5 linked regions of the Xenopus tropicalis genome follow. The protein of the gene in region 4 purifies or fractionates together with the protein of the main gene of each other region. This does not show direct contact. Links are inferred from orthologs where the notes say so. Each region holds a gene or a part of one and is shown on either strand. Other genes may lie near its edges.

Region 1 (4,131 bases), about 8.5 Mb from region 4:
TATCCACAAATTGCCTAGGAAACCCACTCCTTCTAGGATAAGAACAGAGGTGTTACTTGCTTTGGTGTTTGATAACCCTAGCTGCTCTGTATCCATATTGTTTCCCAAAAACAATTAAGATACAACCCCCATGTAAATATGTATATGCAGCTAACCTGTTTGCAATAGTTACACAACTGTTTGTACTGTTGTGTAGTCTTATCCTTAGCCTTATCCTAGCAACATTTGCTATATTTCATGCATCCTGGATTACTAATAAGGTATAAATAGATTTTGCTCCATACACTCCCTACAAGCCATTGTTGCCGGTGGATAGGCATTACGAAGCAGTTAGACAAAATTGGTCTTTCTGGCCCTATATAAATTTGCAGAATAATGCATATTCCCTGTGAACTGCAGACAGGGGCCAGCATAACCTTACTACTTTCTTTGACTTATAAATAAAGCCTTTACTGTTCTTCAAAGGATACATATGGTGTCAATAACAAGTTTGTGTCACTGCATTATATAACTCAAAAACAAGATGGAATGTAATTTTAAAAGTTGTCTTTGTGCTACTAGCAATTTCCCAAAAACCCATTCATATACTTTTTGCTGGGTGTAAAAAAGCATGCAACTCAGAGAATTGCATAAAGGTAGAACTGTGACAAAGTGATTGGCTAGCTCCTTCATCAGTCTGTCTGGGAATGGACTGTTGAAGAACATTCTCATCTGTATGGAAATGAAGGTGTTATTTAATACAGTACTTTTTAGCCAAGATTGAAATTAGGAAATATATATTATTCATTATTGCTAAATAATGAGTGTGAATGGAAAATAAATGAATAGCAATATGCCTCCTTTAATGGAGGCCTGACACTAGAACTGTCTAGACTTTTAAATAACTTTACATTTTCTGAATAAAAAAAAAAAACAAAAAAAAGGAAAACGGACGGATTCACACAAAATACCTATATCCATTTTCTCTGATTTGGCGTCTTCTTCTGGCTTTTTGATTTTAGCAGCATGGACTACAGACTGCGAATCTTCCATTTTAGTAGCATTTGTAGAACAGCTATACTGAGTCTTGCCAAGCCGTCTGCGTGCAAGGGGGGTTACAGATTGGCTATGTTGAGCACCTGCTCCACTGGCCTTAAATTCAAAAACCTCCTTTGGTAAATCTGGGGATGCAAAATGTTTAATGTTGGGTTTTTGAAGGAAGCAGTGTTTATCATGATAGTGCTGCAGAGCCCTTTCTGTATCTTGAAATGATTTGGAACAGCAGCTGCACTTTACACCAATATCAAGAACAAGTGACTGCTGGCTTTTAGCGCAACCATGGATCTTTAAGGTTTCGTATGTTTGCCCAGTAGCTGAACAGTTTTTGCAGCTGTACCAAAGACTTCCTTTTTGTAGCAGTCGTGCCAAGCAGAGACGGCGTTCTTCCTCCCTCTTTGCTTTGCTTGGGAAATTTTCTAAACAACCACAGGTTAAGCGGTTCTCATCTGGCTTAGCAATGGAAAGCGGCTGCTCCTCATTCTTTATAAGAGACTGCATTTGTTCTGGCACAAATCCATATTCCGAACTATGCAAACCATTATAGTGCCCACGGAAGTCCTTTTCATCTTCAAAGTAAAGATCACAAAGCCCACAAATGTATTTCATGTTTATCTCCCCGTCATGCTGATGCTGACTATGTCGGAAAAGTGTTTCTATTTTGTGAAATCGGCTTTTGCAAATATCACATGAGAATTTGTGAAACTGATGAATACTTATATTATTACAGTGTTGCTTAACACTATCTTCAGAATCAAACATCTCTTCGCAAATGTGGCATTGCCAGTGTCCAGCAGTAGTTGCTGTGTTTGTAGGAGAAGGTTCCGAAGCAACCAGATTGGATGGACTAGGTCTTTGTGTTGATGCGGAAGGTTCATCCTCCCATGTTTCCTGCTCAAAATAGTATGAGTGACCTTTGTGACATTCACATACATGCGCCATCATATTCTCAATTCTCAGCAGCTCAATACGACAGTCTTGGCACCAATAGATAAAATTGTTTAAATGAGCTCCTCCATGGAACCGGCTCATGTGCAACCGAATAACACTCAAATCATTAGCCACCTTACTACAAACCAAACATTTGTGACAAATGCCATTAGACAACATGATGTGTTTCTCAGCATCTTCCTCGGTTGAAAACTTCTGCAGGCATTCACAAAACCATGCTGTCACAATGATACCCAGATCTCTTGTCTGTATTTTCCTCTTTGCAGGAGAACCTCTCATGGTGTTTTTTCCTTCATTTACAAATAAATCTGTACTGGATAGATCATTGTCATTTAAAGCCCTTTTAAGCATATTAGGTTTAAATCTTGCATTACTTGCTGATAAGCACAGGTCAGATGGAGTTTTGATCCCTTCATGGGTGTAACAAAATGCCATAATTGATTCGTTCAGGCTTGTTATTAATTTGGCTTTGTGGTTGCTTCTCTGGGCATGCTCAGCAATGTCTGTGTCACTTTTTAACATCTTCCTACATGACAGACAGTAGGCTTTAGCTAGAAACACTGTCATAACCTCAGCGATTGTTTTCTCTGAAGAAACCATGGGATGTGCATTAGGACACCGTGTTCTGTAAGAATGAAGAGAGAAAAAAAATTTTACACTTAAAATGTTGCTGTCACTGTAATAATATTTTTGTAAAAGAACACGCACATATTCCAGTTTCACTTAAAGGAGAATGAAAGGTAAAATCTAAGTAAGCTTTATTAGAAAGGTCTATGTAAATACAGACATAAACACCTGCTGCTCTGAGTCTTTTGTGAAAAGAGACACCACATATCTTTCCTTCTATTCTGTACACATGATCCAGGAAACAGCACTGCTTGTTCAGTTTGCTCCTCTCTCTCCCCCCTCTCCTTCCCTCCCTCTCTGCTGTAATCTGAGCTGAGAGCACAGAGATGCAGCTTCTCAAGCAGAATCCTGCACTGAAATCTGTTTTTCAAAGAGACACATTTTTTTATATTTCATTTTGAAATTTCACGTGGGCTTAGCCCACAACCATGTGACTTGTGCTCTGATTAACTTCAGTCACACTTTGCTGCTGAGCTGCAATTTGGAATGGTATCACCCCCCCTTCCTCCCCTCCCCCCCAGCAGCCGATCAGAACAATGGGAGGGTAGCAAGATAGCAGCTCCCAGTAGAGATCAGAATAGCACTCAATAGTAAGAAATCCAAGTCCAGCTTGGGACTCCTCCAGTTACATAGGAGTAGGAGAAACGCCTACACACCAATAGTACAACTAAAAAAAAACATTTGTTGGTTCAAGAATGAAATTTTAAATGGTGTAAATTAGAAATAAAAAGTACTCCATGTTTACTCAGGTATGGTAAAGCAGAATAAATATAGTGTTCTAGCTTACACTATTGTGGCTAATCTATTAGCAATCAAATGTCTATTTCCTTCTCCTTTAACTCTATTAACAAAGAAAAAAAATATTTGTACACTGCAGGAGAAACCTATTAAATACTTGCACTGCAGTACTGTAAATAACTATGATCTGAACTCCTACTCTCCTCTCACTCATATATTCTTACTACGTTCTACATTCATTTTAACCTTATTAAGTTTATCCCTTTCACTGCCATCCCCTTTGGAGCTTCTGGAACTTCTTTTGCCAAACAGTATGCGCTCTTTCACTTTAGGGGCCTTTCCTTGGAGGAGGGGAAAACTTAGTTTCTCCAGGAAAACAACATTGTTTTTTTCAGGCCAATCTAAGCTTTCAAAATATGCTAGAATTTGTTTGTAATTCTAATTCTGTAACAACATATAGGCTTGTAAATATCTGAAAATTTGAAACAAATATTCTCCATAATATAAACACATATATCAGAAACAAATGATTTTATGCCTGTAAATGCAACTGGATTTGGAAAGCCCCATGTTTTCTGAATGTGCCAATACCAAATATATATAGTTTTATGGAGATCTCACTTGTATAGGTCAAAAACTCTCAGTAGTACAATATACATACAGTGGTGTGAAAAACTATTTGCCCCCTTCCTGATTTCTTATTCTTTTGCATGTTTGTCACACTTAAATGTTTCTGCTCATCAAAAACCGTTAACTATTAGTCAAAGATAACATAATTGA
Region 2 (4,131 bases), about 32 Mb from region 4:
GTTGTTGCTGCAGGGTGATGGAGGCGTTATATGTTCTGAATACTTTGGCTGTTAGTCCCTCCATCAGGTCCTGAAGGTGCTTGTTCAAAATGCTTGTCTGAAAGAAGGGATATAAAAAGACATAAACCTTCATATGTCCTAGGCAGGTTTACAGAAAAATCCTGAATGTCCAAAGTCAAATCTACATACGTTGAGTCTGTCAAACAGGTCGTCGTCAGGCTGCTTGTTTTCCATGAAGAGCTGAAGATTTTTGAAAACCTGAGCAGAGCACCAGAGAAGGAAAATTTTAGTACATAAAGTCACAGCTTCCTTCCATGTTTATTGGGGAGATTTTTCAGCTAAACAAATTTAGAAATGCAACTCCGTATACTTACCCTTTTCTCCACTGGCACTTTGTTGTAGTAGCGGATGGAATCTTTACCCGGGAAGTCGAACTCTACCACAAACTCTTGGCCGTCCAACTCTTGGAAGAGATTGATGTGCTCCACTCGCAAGGAGCAACAACCTACAGTATCTGCTGTTTCTCCCTCTTCCTTTTCGTTGCCAGCTCTCAATGCAAGCTGAAAAGGATTGATTTGGTGGGTAGAATTAGGATACAAGCTAAGGTGAAACATACAAACATGGGGGGGGGGGGGTAAGTAATGCCAGGCCAGCAGCACTCCTGGAATAGCTTAGGGTCACAAGAAAGAATTCCACAAAATGGGAAGGCATACAGCCTATACAGTGACTACTTCAGGAATAGCCTCTGCTGTCTGGGATAATCCTTGGACTGCAAAAATATCTAGTTTAGTTGCAGGCCTGCCTAGATGACCTGACCCATACCTCCTTAGGACACAACAAGCAGTGTATACTGTACTAGTTGCAATAAACATGCATGGCCACTTCCCATCATCCCATTTAGAACAGCAGACAGTATCATCTGCAATCAGACAGGTTCACGGGATGGGTTGTTGAAACCCACCCTTGACCTTTGTTATATATCCTAATAGTTTAGCAGTGTTGATGGGCCGAGTAGACACATGCAAGACCAAACGCAGTTTTGTATCTATCAAACACAAAAGGGCCTCACCTTATCTATAAAGTAGAGCGCTACTGCTCTCTGTCGGACTTTCATCTCTTTGGACTTCCAGTCCTCTTTGTAAGTATTGCGGATCTTTTCAACACACATCTTGAGCCTTCGGGCAGTCTCGTACTTCTGCCAGTCCTTCTCACCCTGAAAGGCAAACAGGAATTGTTAGTTGCAGGAATTCAATTTTCTAGATCCATTTCCATTAGGATATAAAGCAACAACAGAAGTGCCTTAGTGGCCAGGCTGCCCATAATTATCTATTTACCTTGATTCGGGAGCTAGGGTTGAGCATGATGTATTTGATGGAACCCTGAATGTTTTCTGTCCATGATACCAGCCATGTAACCTTGCCGTCATGCCGAACCTCTTTCCACTTGTGACCAGCAGGAGCAACAGGATATTTTGAGTCTCTAAAATCAAGGGGGGTGGGGGAAGTGATAATAAAAAAAATTCCTACATTCCAAACACACAAGGTACATGAACACAAATTGGTATTGCTGGGTTTTTACATACTTGCTGCAGTTGATGATGATGTCTTCCGGCATTATCCTCTTCTTAAGTTTGCCCATCTTGGGGTGATCTCCTCTGCCCCTGAACAGGCCGGGAGGTTCTATGCGGAAGTTAGCAATACGTTCCCTGTGGTTGTCCATGACACAAAAGCCGTACTCCTGCAGTAACCGCTCATTCTCTTCTTTGATTTTCTGTAGCAGGAATAAAAGAAATGAGGCCCAAAATCCCTTGTCTGACCTATTATCGACTAGAACCCATAGCAGCTAATTGTTCTGCATTACTGAGCAAAACTCAATTTCTCAAGGTTAAGCACCTGCTTCTCTTCCTTTGTCATGTTTTTCCTCGCTTCCGATTGCTCTTTAAAGTACTGGCTCATCGCGTTGAAGTCGCATTTGCCCAGGTTGGTGATTAGGTTTCTTTCGTCGGCTGTCATCTCCTGAAAGCGGCCAGGAAGTCGGTTGAATTAGTTGGACAGATTCAAAGAGTTAGGGATTAAATCAAACAAAGAAAAAAAAAAAAAAAAAAACTACCTTTTTCCAGTCTTTGAAGAAGTTCTTCCGAAAGATATCCTTAGTAGTGTACTCGTGGTCTAACATTTTTGCAAAGAACGTGGCCACTTCTTCGGCTTTTGGGCTGAGCTTTACAAGATTACCTGCAGCGAGCAGAAGATATAAGGATAAAGGCCCATTTGAATATATTCACCATCCTCTGCAGATATGAAGGGCCAGGGGTTTATTCCCAATTATTCTACCAGCAAGGGGGTTGTATAGGTAAGTGGTTTATTAACAGCAAGTACAAAAGCAAAGCTGGTACCTGAAGGCACGGGGACACCTGGGAATACTGCAGAGCCACTTACCATCATAGTAAAATTTCACATTGTCAGGGAGAGGTTCATAGGGGGGAGCAAACACTGGTCCTTTATGTTCCAAGAATTTCCACTTAATGCCATCAGCATGCCGCTCCTCCTCCCACCTATAGGAGTTAGAAGTGTTAGAAATGGAAGAAATGCTGTACAGTCCATAAAATACAATAACGCACGGCACGAAGCGGTTACCATTTCCACTTCTCTTCCTCCTCCTTTTTTACTTTTTTCTTCTTCACTTCCCCCTCGTTGCCTTTGCCCTTACTTTTTTTCTTGGGCTTAATATCCTGTGAAGGGAAACTATGTTTTTAAACTGCTTCCTAAACAACCAACCAGATGGACACTTAGGGGCATAAATTGGTGATGCTGGCCTACAAAGGATAATATGCCCCTTAGTTACTCCGCAATAGACCTCACCTCTTCCTCCTGCTTCCGCTTCTTCCCTTTTTTCTCATCTTCAGATTTGATCTTCTTAGGTTTGTAATCCTCACTAAAACCAGAATGACACAGTAGGTAAAATCAGCACCCACAGGAAAACTTTAGGGCAGTTCTGCTTTATGATCTGCTACATGACAACATTTTGTGTGGGCAGAGTTTCATTCTAATAAAAGAGGGTGGGGGTAAAAACCACATACACACTGCTTCAGTTATATGTAAGCTATTGGCTGGACACTGTCATATCTTACACAGTCACAGTACAATACAGTTTGTGAAACTCAAGGCCAGGCTGTTAAATGCCCTTTGGAAAGGCCAGCTTTGTGCCAAGACTTAGATTGTCTAGTGTATTCCCTCCTTATATATTACCTATATAGAATAACTCCGGAATATCTGAAGCAAGCAATATGGCAGAGTAGGTTGATGACATTTATTCCAACTCATTCTATTAAGACTGCGGCTATTAATCTTGGATGAGAGGAATACAAGTGCAGTAGTAGGTGGACAACCTACTCCCTTCACCATTCTAACCATTCCCTGCTCACGTACTCATCGTCTCTTGGCCTCTTCATTGCCTTATTTTCCTTGGGGGACATGTGGAAGCCGTCATCTTCTGGCTCATCTTTAACCCGCACAGGACTAGAAGAGAAGAAGCAGGGTGTTCAATAAGAGAAACTCCGCACCCAGTGGCAGTATATTTGCTCTACCGACCCATTGCCTTTACCTAGAGAAACCATTTGCTTTTTTCACTTTAACACTGCCGCTGGAAGATTTCATCTGCAAGAGATAAAAGCAGTCAGGTTAAACAGTGATACTGGTCATAGTGAATACAATAAATATGAGTGCAGGAGGTCCTCAAAACCTCGTTTTGTATGATATTCGGTGCGTGTATGGCAAGTCGGCGAGTCGACCAATATCGCAGGAGGCTGCTGATATATCGGTCAACTCGCCGATCGGACCGGTTAAAAGATTTTGATCGGGCGCCATAGAAGGAGCCTGAGCAAGTTCTGCCATCAGAGCTGAATCGGCAGAAGGAGGTAGAAATCCTATTGTTTCTACCACCTTATCTGCCGTTTCAGCTCTGAACAGTTAGTGGCTGATTGAACGATCTTTCGTGCGACCATCCCAAATCGCCACGTGTGTGGCCACCTTAATGGAGATGACAGCCTCACCTTTTCTTCTTTTCTCTTCTCCCGATCTTTATCTCTGTGTTTATCTTTATGCTTTTCTCCATCTCTATGCTTCTCAGCATCTT
Region 3 (4,693 bases), on a different chromosome or scaffold from region 4:
CGACTGATTCGGGGAGGGAATTCCACAACTTCACAGCTCTCACTGTAAAAAATCCTTTCCGAATATTTAAATGGAACCTCCCTTCTTCTAAACGGAGTGGGTGCCCTCGTGTCCGTTGGAAGGACCTACTGGTAAATAAAACATTAGAGAGGTTATTATATGATCCCCTTATATATTTATACATAGTTATCATGTCACCTCTTAAGCGCCTCTTCTCCAGTGTAAACAGACCCAACTTGGCCAGTCTTTCTTCATAACCGAGACTTTCCATACCCTTTACCAGCTTAGTTGCCCTTCTCTGGACCCTCTCTAGCTCAATAATGTCCCGTTTGAGCACTGGAGACCAAAACTGAACAGCATATTCTAGATGGGGCCTTACCAGTGCTCTGTAAAGGGGAAGAATAACCCCCTCCTCCCGTGAATCTATACCCCTTTTAATACAGCTCAGAACCTTGTTTGCCCTTGCAGCTGCTGCCTGGCATTGCTTGCTACAGCCAAGTTTATTATCTACAAGGACTCCAAGATCCTTCTCCATTATGGATTTGCCTAGTGCAGTCCCATTAAGGTTATACGGGGCTTGCATATTTTTACATCCCAGGTGCATGACCTTACATTTATCCACATTAAATCTCATCTGCCACTTAGCTGCCCAGATTGCCAGTTGGTCAAGATCCTGCTGCAGGGATGTCACATCCTGGATAGAATTGACTGGTCTGCAGAGTTTTGTGTCATCTGCAAACACTGATACATTACTCATAATACCCTCCCCTAAGTCATTTATGAACAAATTAAACAAAAGTGGACCCAGTACAGAACCCTGAGGGACCCCACTGAGAACCTTACTCCAAGTAGAGAATGTGCCATTAACAACCACCCTCTGTACCCGATCCTGTAGCCAGTTTTCTATCCATGTGCAAACGACTTCACTAAGACCAATAGACCTTAGCTTAGAAAGCAGTCGTTATGATATTATCGTGACTATTACGATTTTTTCGTAAGCATATTCGTGACATTTCCGATCGTCAGAAATGATCGCATCTGATCCGAATTTTACCCATTTTGGGATTCAAACTTGTACTTTGATGAATCTGCCCCATAGGACTGCCAAATGGTATTTCACCAGTGGAGCCAGTAATATAGCAGCCCAGGCTGGCACAGCAGTGTATTTGCCAGTAAAATTATAATTTCCACCCCAGTCATTCTGCCCCTGGCTAGCCACAATTTCCCTTTAACCCCTGACTACTAGCCCAATCCGCTCTCTGTAATAACGCAAGTTTTAAAGTATAGCTCAGCCCTTCCTGGTCCTATCACGCCCCCTTTTTTTATCCAGACCTTTTACCCTGCTGGCTTCTACTCCTTGGTAGACGCTGACAACACTAAACACCCGCACTTTTTTTTTTTTAATTGGATTGAGGGTTTTTTGCATATTTACAACAAACACATATGCACACGTGTCATGCTATGTACTTCGTTCTTTATTGTTCTTCACTGATAGCATTTTTTACGTGAAATTGCACAACGATTCAAGCGGAATTAAAAAAAAACTCATGTTTTCTTATTTAGTTTTACTAAACAAAAGTTCCTTTAGTCTGTTGTAAAAAATAGGCGCACATTAACTCAAAAGTCCAACTACAACATGGCTACATCCGCCCAGGCGCCCCTCGAGGAAAAGGCGTAGCCAAAACGAAAGTGGGAGTGATATTTTCTCGTCCAAACAACTTACGCGCTTTTGGCGTTTGTAAGCGCACACTGGTGACGTTTTGGGGGTCGCACCATAAGCGCGTGGTTTCACCGGCGTACCATGGAGAGAAAAGGTGAGGGAGTAATAAGGGGTTCTATGATTATAGACGGATCATGTAATATAAAACTAAGACAGACTGACTTACAAGCCATGTATTACTAGTGAGTGGTTGCGGTTTTAAATGTATGCGAATAGCAAGTGTAAAGCTGTGAACGTTTCTTTATATTATCTTGCAATTCTTATTGAGAATAATACCATTTGTATGGAAGTGTTTTGCAATTCCTTTTAGCATATCAAGACTTTGTTTTATTACTGTACTTGATAACTTAAAGGAACAGTTCAGTGTAAAAATGAAACTGGGTAAAAGACTGCACAAAAGAAAAAAATATTTGTAATATAGTTAGGCAAAAGCAGATGTCTTAACATAATAGCCAGAATTCTACTTCCTGCTTTCAACCCTCTAACCTCTTAGTTAGTGAGTGACTTTAGGGTGGGCCACATGGGACATAACTGTTTAGTTAGTTTGTGAGCACACAGGACAGATTAAATACAAACCTTACATTTATCAACATTAAAAATCCCCAGGCTTAGTGGCAGATGATATTCAGTTTTTCTAGATCTTGCTGCAAGGATGGATACATCTTGGAAAAATTAATTTACCTGCATAGTTTTGCATGAAATGCAAGAACTAAGTCACTAATAAATAAAAGTGCACTCAATACAAAACCCTGCAGGACCACACTAAGAACAATACTCCAAGCTGTTTTTCAAAACGCATCAGTTAATACAGCTTCTGCAGCAGAAGCCTTGAAATCCATTTTTCAAAACACAATTTTTTTTTTATATTTCAATTTGAAATTTCCCATGGGGCTATAGCCATATTCTTTATTTCCCAGGGTGCCAAAGCCATGTGCCTGTGATCTGATAAACTTTAGTCACACTTTACTGCTGAGCTGCAAGTTGGAGTGATATCACCCCCTTCCCAGCAGCCAATCAGCAGAACAATGGGAAGTTAGCAAGATAGCAGCTCCCAGTAGATATCAGAATACCACTCAATAGTAAGAAATCCAAGTCCGGCTTGCTACTTCTCCAGTTACATGGGAGGGTTTTTCCTACCTATCAGTTCTAATGTGTAGCACTGGCTCTTTCTGAAAACTCAGGCACAATGCACTGTGAAATATTAGCTTTGTAAACTGTGTTTACAGACAATGGTTTTCAGAAGTATTCTCAAACTTGTGCAGTCATTTTCAGTACATAATCCTGTATGTTTTTAATGCAGTGCTGCCCGAAGATATAATATTGGCTTCTGGCCTTGTCCTTGCACACACAGATTTCTCTAATAATATTATGCACTGTAGGTAATGATATCTTTGCAGTTTTACATATTATTCTTAATTTGTTGCAATATTTGCCCAAGCAGTGATTTGTGGAGTGGTGTATCTCTCCTATCTTTATTTTCAAAGGCCCACCCTCTCTGGGATGCTCTTTTTATCTTTACATAACTTTACTAGACTTTAGTTGCTCCTGTCCCAATTTGTTTTTAAGGGCCGTGGCAAATCTCCGTTGTCGCAGGCGACTTATCTCCCAAATATGACATCCCACCGGCGAGAATGTAAATAGCTGGTGAGATGGCATACACGGTGCGGCAATTTACCGAAATCGCAGAAGTTGCTGTGAGAGGCGATTTCGGCACCGCGTATGCCATCCCACCGGCAACATACATTCTAGCCGGTGGGATGGCATTATGGGGAGATTAGTTGCGCGCCGACTAATCTACCCGTCTCTCATGGCCCTTAAGCATTGCTGGCATCATATTAGAATTGAGCATATATTTGATAAGTTTATTTAGTGCTATTTGCAATTACATTTAGGGTTTAAATGATCTGTAACTCATTCCATTCTTTTTCATTTTTTTAATATTTTTTTAGGGTTATGTCCAAATTTATGTACTGAAGTAAATTTAGATTGTTAATTTTAGCTATCCTAAATTGTATAGTCTTTGTTGACCCAGTGTATATTTGCTTTTTGCAGCAAATAAATGAGATAATATAGTCACTTTTGCTCCAGGAGTTGTAATACTTGCAATGCCGGCTCCCCTACACATCCAGAGAATTCAGCCAGCAGGAAGTGGGAGAGATGGGTGTGGCTAGTAGGGTTTGGGGGGGAATTTCTCAATAAATCAGTCCGAAGTACAACCTTTTTAATCACAATCCTTCTATATTTAAAGGAGTATAACGCAGTGGTACATTTTTAAATTTTTTTTTTTTGTAATTTAAATTTTAGAAATTTATAGAAAGAAAAAAGGCAAACAACATCGACAATATACAGAATAGCTATTTTTCATCTTAAATGAAGTGTGGGCTTATTACATAGTGAATTTGTATGCATTCACTTTTTCTTCTTTTGTGATTGTTACTCTTTTCTGTTGAGCTCTGTTTAAACAGTCAGAGTTTGTATGTTAGATCAGGGGTAGGGAACCTATGGCTCGGTAGCCAGATGTAGCTCTTTTGATGGCTGCATCTGGCTTGCTGCCAAATCTTTAATAAAAAAATTAACGGGGACGTGGCCTGCGCTTGGCGGATAGAAGACGTGTTCTAAGCCTTAGAACACGTCTTCTATCCGCCGTGCGCAGGCCACGCCCTCCTCCGCATCCCATCCACATCCGGTATCCTTGGGACCCACCCTACCTTGCCCTGCAGCATCCGCGGCCAAACATATTGTATGGCTCTCACGGAATTACATTTTAAAATATGTGGTGTTTATGGCTCTCTCAGCCAAAAAGGTTCCCGACCCCTGTGTTAGATAGAGTAAAGGTGGAAAGATAGGGTTGGTAGAGGAAAGGAAGACACAGAGGGATGGGGTAAGGTTGGGGTTTACCGGTTTCCAGATTGTTTCTGACATTTTTAATTTTAACATGTCTCCTTTAACAAACTGACTTCCCAAAACAAAGTG
Region 4 (4,131 bases):
ACTTTTTATTAATTTTTCTATTCATATTCCAGGGTCTCTCAAACCAACTGACTGGTTGCTACAAAGAGCAGATGCAGAACATACAAACTGCAGATATGCCCTGGTCTGAATCAAATCCATGTTCCCAGTGCTGCTCAGCAGGAATGCCTAATACAATGCTACTGGGATATTGATCCAGAAACGAGTCCAATTGCCAATCTGGAGCTGGTAAATGCAGCTGTTAACATTTTGCAGCTCTGTATGGGCTTTTTCATGTTCCACCAACTCAAAGTTTCAAAGTAGAATTGGATTATTATTATTATTATATTTACTGTGATACAAACACCAGAAATGAAGTGTTTTACATCGGCATACTTCTGTATACACAAGGTCACGGCAAACGCAGTAAAGATCTGTAGTGGGCCAAACTTGGATATTAAGATACTTAAACAAAAAAAATTGCCCACGTTTAATATATTGCAAAACAGAAGTTCTCACCAGTCTTCGGTTTCTGGACTCGTTTTTTAGGTGCAGGTTTCTTCTCTGCCACTTTAGCACTTGACACTTTGGCACTGGGAGCCGGTGCAGGGGCGCTGGGAGCACTGGTCATTATGGGAGTATCCTCATCTTCATCTAATGCAATTACTGGAGCTAGACAAAAATACAACAGAACCAGTCACATTAATACCAAGACATAACTCAGATCTGCCAGGATACAGAATGGTTAATATATGTTGTGTTATGTTATCTATGAATATAGCATGTTTCATTGCAGCAGAAAAACAAGCCAACATATGGCTGAACTGGGGTAAACATACATGTGTGATCCTTTATTTCATTGTGGTCCCATTTGTACTGGGCTCATAAAACCCCCAAAACACGTTGCCATATGTAATGTATTACTATGTGAATATCCCAAGCAGCTATTCTTGATAAAACATACCTGCTTTGTCTTTCTGTGGAGAGTTTTCTGGGCTTTCAATCTTTTTAGCTTTCCTGTTAAATAAGTTAAACCATTTTAGACAAAACATCAAATCTTACAGAAAAAAAAGCCTTTAAATCAGTAGTCACCAACTCTGTATGTTTGCAATTCTGTTACTTTTTATAAGTTTTTTAAATCACTCCCCCTCATTCAAGTTTCTACCTGGTTGCCAGGGAAAAAATGCATGTTGTCTATATAATACTAACATTTAGAAGCTACCAATTTCCATCAGGATGCCAGTAAGGTAGTTTCCAATCACATCCTTTTTTTAGTAAGCAGCATTAAATGGTGGAAACAAAATTGTCACCAAGAAATGGCTTAAGTTGATTTGTACCTAAAGGGAGGGGAGAGTACTCACTTGGGCGCAGCTCTGGGCTTTTTGGCTGGCTTTGCAACTACAAAGGATTCATCTTCTGAATCAGATTTTGGGTTGAAATCACTGAATTCACTGTCACTCTTCTCCTGAGGCATCTTTATGCCGCTTCCCTCTTCTTCACCGTCTTCATCAGAGCTCAACATATAGTTCACTTTAGCTAGAAGCAAATAAAAACATTTGTTATCAAGCAGAACCCTTTTATGTGGTAACACATTCCATAGCAGGCCTAGGCAACTATCAGTAAATGAATGAATGAAACAATAAAGAAGCTCTAAAAACAAACAAAAAAACCCCCAGCACTGGCCTCTATAGGGCCCCCTTTTTGCACCAGTACTTGCATCAGAGGCATTTGTCGGGAAGCCCTAACACCATGTTAAACACTATGTTCATAAAACCCCAACTGTGTTCAGACTGCAGAGGTAAATTTGCTACTAGCATTTCTCACCTGCAACATTGCGGCGTGGCTGAGCAGCACGTGGCACCACTTCTTCCTCGGACTCGCTCTCTGAATCCTGGAATGTGCTCTTTGCCTCTTTTTTTACTGGCTTGAAGGGTAACGTTGCCTGCTTCTTGTCTTTGACAGCCTTTGCGCCTTTATGTAAAAGCAGTTATAGAAATGTTAGATTGCAGCATAACACCAGCATGCAAACAGAGAAGCTTTCATTAAAAACCATTTACACACCTGGCTCTTTTTTAACTTTTTTGCTTAATCTTTCGGCAAGCGTTAGGCTCTCTGGACTTTGTTCTGGTGAATTTAAGCTGTCTCCTTCACCATCGTCTTCGAAATCCATCTTCTTAGCAACATCCTCACCCTAACAAATGGCAAATGTTTGGGTACATTTTATAAATGCAAAAGTCAATACATATTCTATATATACATATGCTCAAAAAGGCCAGTTATTGTTGAGCCAAGCAAACCTAAATCTATACAGAAACGCTCGTTTACCTTAATTCTCTTTTTCATCTTTTTGGTGGCTTCCGCTTTCATGGCTGTTGTGACCTTAGGGACAACACGCCTGCCATGTGGAGATGGCATAATTTCCTGCAATTGCATTTTCTTTACTTGCGGTCTCCCACTCTTTCCTTTAACCACTTTGCCTGTTGTTACGGACTGTTCTTCCCTTTCTTTGGCTTCTACACGCTGTCACAAAGCAAGAACACAACTCCTGTTGTTGGAACCGCAGCAATTTATATAAAGCAACAAATACCAAATAGACAAAGGAAGGATAGATGTTACTACTTACGTCTAGCTCCTCAACAAATGCAGAAAGGTCTTCTTTCCACAAGTCAGAAGGTGATTTCTTTTTCAGGTCCTGAAGCTCTGCGTTCTAAAAACAAAATGACAGCATTTATTGGAAATGCCAGATAGTGACACTCACCACTAGAGAAGGTGGAAGTATTTAAATATTATCAAACCAACATCAAGGCAACTCCATATTTAGTAATAAGTAAATGCTATGCAGTAAAACCCAAGCAAACATCTCTGATGAGTTATCCGACCACTGAAAGTCACAATTAAAGAAGGGTTGGTTTCTGGAGACAGTAATGTATGTTTGGAAGCACCCCCAGTATAGTATCTGACTGTCGCCAGTGGTGTAACGCCCTAAACTGGCCAGGTCCATAATCCAGGAAAGCAAGAAAAAATGGAAGCCCAGCACACACCAAGATATGATGCTGTAGCAGAGATTTATGGTACCATACCATATGGCTATATAAGGCTGACATTTCATGGGCTTGTATCTGCCGACCACTACTGGTCATAATATCTAACCATCTTAGAATTGGCAAATAAGCCACATTTGTTCCTAGTCAAACCCAAACAACTAAATTCACTTAAGATGGAAAAACAACTCTAAAGAACTATTTTAGTTCTTTGCCATTTAAGACTTTTTGAAAGGTCTTTTATTCAGACAACCAAATCTTTGTAATGATTTTAGAGCCTTTTGAGTTTGAAGATAACCAGCCTCTGGGATGTAATGTAGAAGAACCTATTAAACTGTGTTCCCCTGTTCACACCTCAGGAGCAGTAGAAACCCACAAATAATCCCTGCATACTACAAAAAGAACATATACTGAGGTGGTACTGCAATTAAAAAGTTTTTTAATATATATTTATTGTGCAGACTGTAGGAGCAGTGCCAGCATTGTGTCACTGTAGGCTGCCTGTGTGTGCCATACACACGGGCAGCATAGGGCAAGCAGAGTATGGCACACACAGGTAGGGTAGGGAAGGCAGAGTATGGCACACACAGGCCAAGTATGGCACAAACCAGCCAAGAATGGCACACACAGTGAAAGTATGGCACACACAGGCAGGGTAGGGCAGGCAGAGTATGGCAGGTTTTTGCTGTACTACAACCATTAATATGGGTATGGTCATGTGATAACATGGGTGTGGTTTCAAGTTAATCAAACCCTGTAGAATAGTAAAAAGGTTTGCATATATCTGCTTTTAAAAAGGTTCAAATAAAAAAGATCTAATTTTAACATGGAGCAATAGAATCCCCAATACTTAGGCCCTATAAGATGAAATGGAGGTCTGTGAAACTACAACTGCTTGGGTTGCAGTCCTAGCTGCTTGTTGCAGGTAAGGTCATGTAGCTTGCATCTCAGGACTTGGACAGATATGATAGAAAATGACTAGTCTCAGCACTGTCAAGTAAAAGTCGGAAACACATTTTGCTCATTTGTATCAGGTTTACAACAGTCACGTAGGCTGCATGTCATGGTCATACCTTGACGTCTCTCTGCTTACACAGCTCATCTTTCTTTTCTTTACTCAGGTTCCACAAAG
Region 5 (4,110 bases), on a different chromosome or scaffold from region 4:
CCCATTGTGACACAGTAATTGCAAGGAAGAGTGACTTGGGTAGGTGTCCTTTAAGAGGTGATGGTGTAGAATTATTCAACAGATCCGATCAGTCCAAAACTTTTTGCTGTAAAGGGTAAAAAATGTAGTAACTACATGTAAATTGAGCCAAACTTCCAGTTTTTATCCCATTGTACAGAGTTCATCATTTTTACCACAACTTGTCTGCTTCTTAGAAAAGAATTGTGTGCTTCTTGAGACCCCCTATTTGTTAACCCAGGAACATTTTTCTTGCTTGTGTTGCTCTCTTTTTACATTTGAATGTGGCTCATAGGTAAAGGTTGGGGATCCCTGCTGTGTATTATGACCTGGATGATTGAGACTCTTTATAGACGCATGATAATATACCGTATATACTCGAGTATAAGCCGATCCGAATATAAGCCGAGGTACCTAATTTTACCTAAGAAAACTGGAAAAACGTATTGACTCGAGTATAAGCCCCTCAATGGTGCAGCATGAAAAGCATCCATATACCGGTATACAAAATCTTTAATCCAATAACTAAATATGGCATTTCTGTATTCTTTAAATACAGTAAATTGCTGTTCTGGATGTCACTTCAATGAATACAAAATTATTCTATATAAATTTGATAAAACAACTACTGTCCCACTAGCCATAGAGCTTAGCAAGTTATGTAAACCTCTCATAATATAGAGACCAGTACCTCTCTCTTTTTTTTTTATTTTTTCATTCATGACTGTACATAAGCTGAGAAGAACTGCATGTGGGTACTTTTGATTTAATTAGGTGAGCAGTGATTATGTAAAGAGCTTCAGAGGGGCCTCTTGATATTAATATGAGTGTATTAAGCAAGGCTAGGGCACACGGCTAGCACAAGGATATCATAACCAACTTATACTAAGCATTTCAACAGTGTGGAGTAATGAGAAAAATTGCTCCAGTGGTAGCATTCTATGCCCATAAATCCGCAGGTGGCGGCATATTTAACCTGATCACTTGCTCAGTAGGTATCAGTTACCAGTCTAAGTAAGGCTCTGGTTAGAGGGAGGTGCCACGGTGCTGCTCTTTGTGTCACTTACTGTCATGTTGGCACTCAACACTAACTATATAGTGGGGCTCTGTGCTCTGCTAGGCTGTTCTGCTGCCGTTGTCCTGGCATCCACGGGGGTCCAGGGAGGGGGGGGCTCGGGGGTGCTCCTCAATGTGTCCCTATGTGCTGCGCGCTGCACATAACGTAGCGCGCACGCCGCAGGCACAGTCTGCCTACGGCTCGGGGGGTGCTCCTCCTGTGCTCCAGTGTGTCCCAAAGTGCAGCGGCACGAAGAGCATAATGTCGCGCCCCTTGTACATGCTCCTGAAGGCCGCGCAACTACCGTATTCCATGTAGTTTGGGTGCAACTACCGTATATACCAGAGTATAAGCCGATTGTTACTTTTTAAGCACATTTTTAGGGCTGAAAACTCGGCTTATACTCGATAAATAAAAGTGGTCCTCTATCCAAACACTTTTTTTTCTGTACTGAAGGATACTGTTATTCTTAGCAACTTTGAATACATATTTGTTGAACATTTTCAGTGGTTTTTAGGTTATTAAATGGAGTAAAATGAAGAACCCTCTAATGAGCTGCTTCTTATTTCACAGCCTAACTGGGTAGGGAGGGATTTGATCACAAAGAGGGCTTCTCAATGGAAGCTGATTTGTTTTTATTGTGCTTTTATGAACCAAATGTGACTTCCAGTTTCACATTTAGCCCTGTTTTGTTCAAGAAACAGTCAGTAGGTAAAATGTGTATTTGTATAAATCTTTTTTTTTTCATTTTCCTCAAGGTGTCCATTTGCGAAAGCAACATTCCTACATTGAGCAAGGAAAGAAGTGTCGCTACTGTGACACAGTGTTCCATGAGCGTTATGCACTAATCCAGCACCAGAAGTCTCATAAAAATGAAAAACGATTTAAATGTGACCAGTGTGAATATGCTTGCAGACAGGTATAGTTACTATAAAAATGTTATACAGTACTTTTGTATTGTTGCCTAGGATTAAATGTATCCATATTTTAAAGGGGAAATTCAGGTTATCTAATCAGTGTTTGGTTGGCCTTATTTGTTTTGTATAATTTTTGAATTGTCTGCTTCCGGCAACGAAAAGAGTTTGACAGAATGAATTTATTTTTTCTTATTTGTTTGGCATCTATACATCTCCCCAATTATTGTGTGGTTGCTAGAGTAATTAAGTTATAACAAACCAGTTTAAATCCTGGGTATTATGCCACAAAAAGTGGAGATTGATTCCATATGCTGTTTGAACGCTACTGTTTATCTGACACTAAATTTAACATTAAAGGGATAGTAATGCTTTATTTTACCAGAAAGTGAAGAAGTTATGCCTTTATAATTCGATATAATGGGAAAATCAAGCCTGTCCAAGTGACATCTGCCAGGTTTTTGCCCATATACATCAGTTGGGGTGGTTCTTCGGCCAGATAATCTGCCAAATAGGTCTGGATGACTCTAATCGGTGGCTTAAATCTACCCGTGTGCGATCCTCTCTGATGTGTCAGGAGTAGGTGGGGGCTGTGGGCCAAAATTGGTTTGGGTACCTGTTTACATTTGTATTCAGGCAATTGACGATTGGCAAAACATTTCATACTGTTCATGCACAAAATTTCACATGTTTGTGTTGCAGTCTAAAAAGATATTTAACATTCTTTTTTGTAGGAGCGACACATGATTATGCACAAAAGGACCCATACTGGTGAGAAGCCTTATGCCTGTAGCCATTGTGATAAAACATTTCGACAGAAACAGCTGCTTGATATGCACTTCAAAAGATACCATGACCCAAGTTTTGTTCCTGCAGCATTTGTGTGCTCCAAGTGTGGGAAAACATTTACTCGAAGGGTATGTTTGCATTTTTTCCTTCCTTTACTGGTAGAAGTTAAATTTGGCTTACTATCGCATAACTTAAGATGGTTGCACCCACAGGGGCGTATTTATAATGGAGCACCCAAGGGCCGGTGCATAGGACAGCAGTGCTTGCATGTTTTTTTTGTTTTTTATTTAAAAAAAAAAAAAAAGCCTCTGCAGGGGTCGGGTAGGGGGGTCGGGACACTCTTTGGGAGTGACGTCACATTCACATCACTTCCGCTATGTTGCTTCGTGTAACGTCATGCGCCTAGGGTGGCACTGGACCTATATGCACCCCTGTGCACGTAGAAGGACATTTGAGACTTTTCTTGCTTCAGGGATTCAGAGAGGATGTATTAGTCCATCCCAAAAATTGTCACAAAGCATATGGTGAGAAATGGATGATAGGGAGGTAAATGGGAAACTTGAATACTTCAGACTGGTGCATAAGATTTTATCCACTATGTTTATTTCCATGTGCCGTATCTATTTTCTAACTAATTTAGTTACCCTGAAATATTAGGTGAGTCAGATTAGAGTGGGCATGGTGGTTTGTGTGCAGGTATTAAGGTTTTTGTAAATGTATTTGCTGTTAACAGCAATATGTATCTTACTGTTTAACAACATTTGCACGCTGATCGCCGACTCCTGAAACAGTGTTGCAAGCCACTTGATTAGCACCAATAAAATTTGCAATTTGTTATTTGAGTGATATGGATAAAGCTCTGGGAAAGATTTGGAATCATGGCAATAATGACTTTGTATATAGAGTGTTAAGGATAAAGAAATAAAAAAAAAAAAAATCCCCTGTTGTGAAGAAATGACCTAAAACCTCTGTTCTGTTTGTAGAATACAATGTCAAGACATGCAGATAATTGCACTGGGCCTGATGGTACAGATGGTGAAAATGGAGGAGAAAGTGAAGTGGTTCACAAAAAAGGGAAGCGTGGTCGCAAGAGAAAGATGCGCTCCAAGAAAGAAGGTTCTTCTGACAGTGGTAAGTTTCTTCTATTTTTTTTTTTTTTTTTTTTTTTTTTTCATCTGGCCTGTAAAGCTGTATGTGAAAATGCCTGTGGATTTACTTTGTCTTAATGGGGTCTAGTTATTAGACATGCTGTTTTCAAGAGTTATTACTCTAGTAGAAATTTTTAATATTAGTCATCACAATTCTTTGCTTATTGGAGTATTTTTAAGCTTT

Evidence for each region.
Region 1: the proteins of top2a (region 4) and znf451 purify together in Homo sapiens (affinity purification with mass spectrometry; 3 studies listed by BioGRID and IntAct, with this or other methods). This does not show direct contact. The link is inferred for Xenopus tropicalis from reciprocal best matches to the Homo sapiens genes TOP2A and ZNF451.
Region 2: the proteins of top2a (region 4) and top1.1 purify together in Homo sapiens (co-immunoprecipitation; 4 studies listed by BioGRID and IntAct, with this or other methods). This does not show direct contact. The link is inferred for Xenopus tropicalis from reciprocal best matches to the Homo sapiens genes TOP2A and TOP1.
Region 3: the proteins of top2a (region 4) and srpk1 fractionate together in Homo sapiens (co-fractionation; 3 studies listed by BioGRID and IntAct, with this or other methods). This does not show direct contact. The link is inferred for Xenopus tropicalis from reciprocal best matches to the Homo sapiens genes TOP2A and SRPK1.
Region 5: the proteins of top2a (region 4) and ctcf purify together in Homo sapiens (affinity purification with mass spectrometry; 3 studies listed by BioGRID and IntAct, with this or other methods). This does not show direct contact. The link is inferred for Xenopus tropicalis from reciprocal best matches to the Homo sapiens genes TOP2A and CTCF.

Annotation. Positions count from the first base shown.
Region 1 is NC_030686.2:17,110,882-17,115,012, forward strand, and holds part of znf451 (E3 SUMO-protein ligase ZNF451), read right to left. Parts: intron 2,612-4,131; coding exon 951-2,611; intron 1-950. UniProt on the Homo sapiens protein: E3 SUMO-protein ligase; has a preference for SUMO2 and SUMO3 and facilitates UBE2I/UBC9-mediated sumoylation of target proteins. Plays a role in protein SUMO2 modification in response to stress caused by DNA damage and by proteasome inhibitors (in vitro).
Region 2 is NC_030686.2:40,922,217-40,926,347, forward strand, and holds part of top1.1 (DNA topoisomerase 1), read right to left. Parts: coding exon 4,049-4,131; intron 3,654-4,048; coding exon 3,601-3,653; intron 3,516-3,600; coding exon 3,426-3,515; intron 2,932-3,425; coding exon 2,859-2,931; intron 2,729-2,858; coding exon 2,634-2,728; intron 2,552-2,633; coding exon 2,436-2,551; intron 2,232-2,435; coding exon 2,110-2,231; intron 2,016-2,109; coding exon 1,893-2,015; intron 1,771-1,892; coding exon 1,583-1,770; intron 1,480-1,582; coding exon 1,335-1,479; intron 1,214-1,334; coding exon 1,070-1,213; intron 561-1,069; coding exon 375-560; intron 259-374; coding exon 190-258; intron 98-189; coding exon 1-97. UniProt on the Homo sapiens protein: Releases the supercoiling and torsional tension of DNA introduced during the DNA replication and transcription by transiently cleaving and rejoining one strand of the DNA duplex.
Region 3 is NC_030678.2:69,859,358-69,864,050, reverse strand, and holds the start of srpk1 (SRSF protein kinase 1), read left to right. Parts: upstream 1-1,779; 5' UTR 1,780-1,801; coding exon 1,802-1,814; intron 1,815-4,693. UniProt on the Homo sapiens protein: Serine/arginine-rich protein-specific kinase which specifically phosphorylates its substrates at serine residues located in regions rich in arginine/serine dipeptides, known as RS domains and is involved in the phosphorylation of SR splicing factors and the regulation of splicing.
Region 4 is NC_030686.2:8,636,250-8,640,380, reverse strand, and holds part of top2a (DNA topoisomerase 2-alpha), read right to left. Parts: coding exon 4,073-4,131; intron 2,666-4,072; coding exon 2,582-2,665; intron 2,479-2,581; coding exon 2,284-2,478; intron 2,150-2,283; coding exon 2,020-2,149; intron 1,930-2,019; coding exon 1,783-1,929; intron 1,495-1,782; coding exon 1,320-1,494; intron 976-1,319; coding exon 923-975; intron 631-922; coding exon 478-630; intron 1-477. UniProt on the Homo sapiens protein: Key decatenating enzyme that alters DNA topology by binding to two double-stranded DNA molecules, generating a double-stranded break in one of the strands, passing the intact strand through the broken strand, and religating the broken strand.
Region 5 is NC_030680.2:41,135,420-41,139,529, forward strand, and holds part of ctcf (transcriptional repressor CTCF), read left to right. Parts: coding exon 1-39; intron 40-1,833; coding exon 1,834-1,994; intron 1,995-2,723; coding exon 2,724-2,906; intron 2,907-3,761; coding exon 3,762-3,909; intron 3,910-4,110.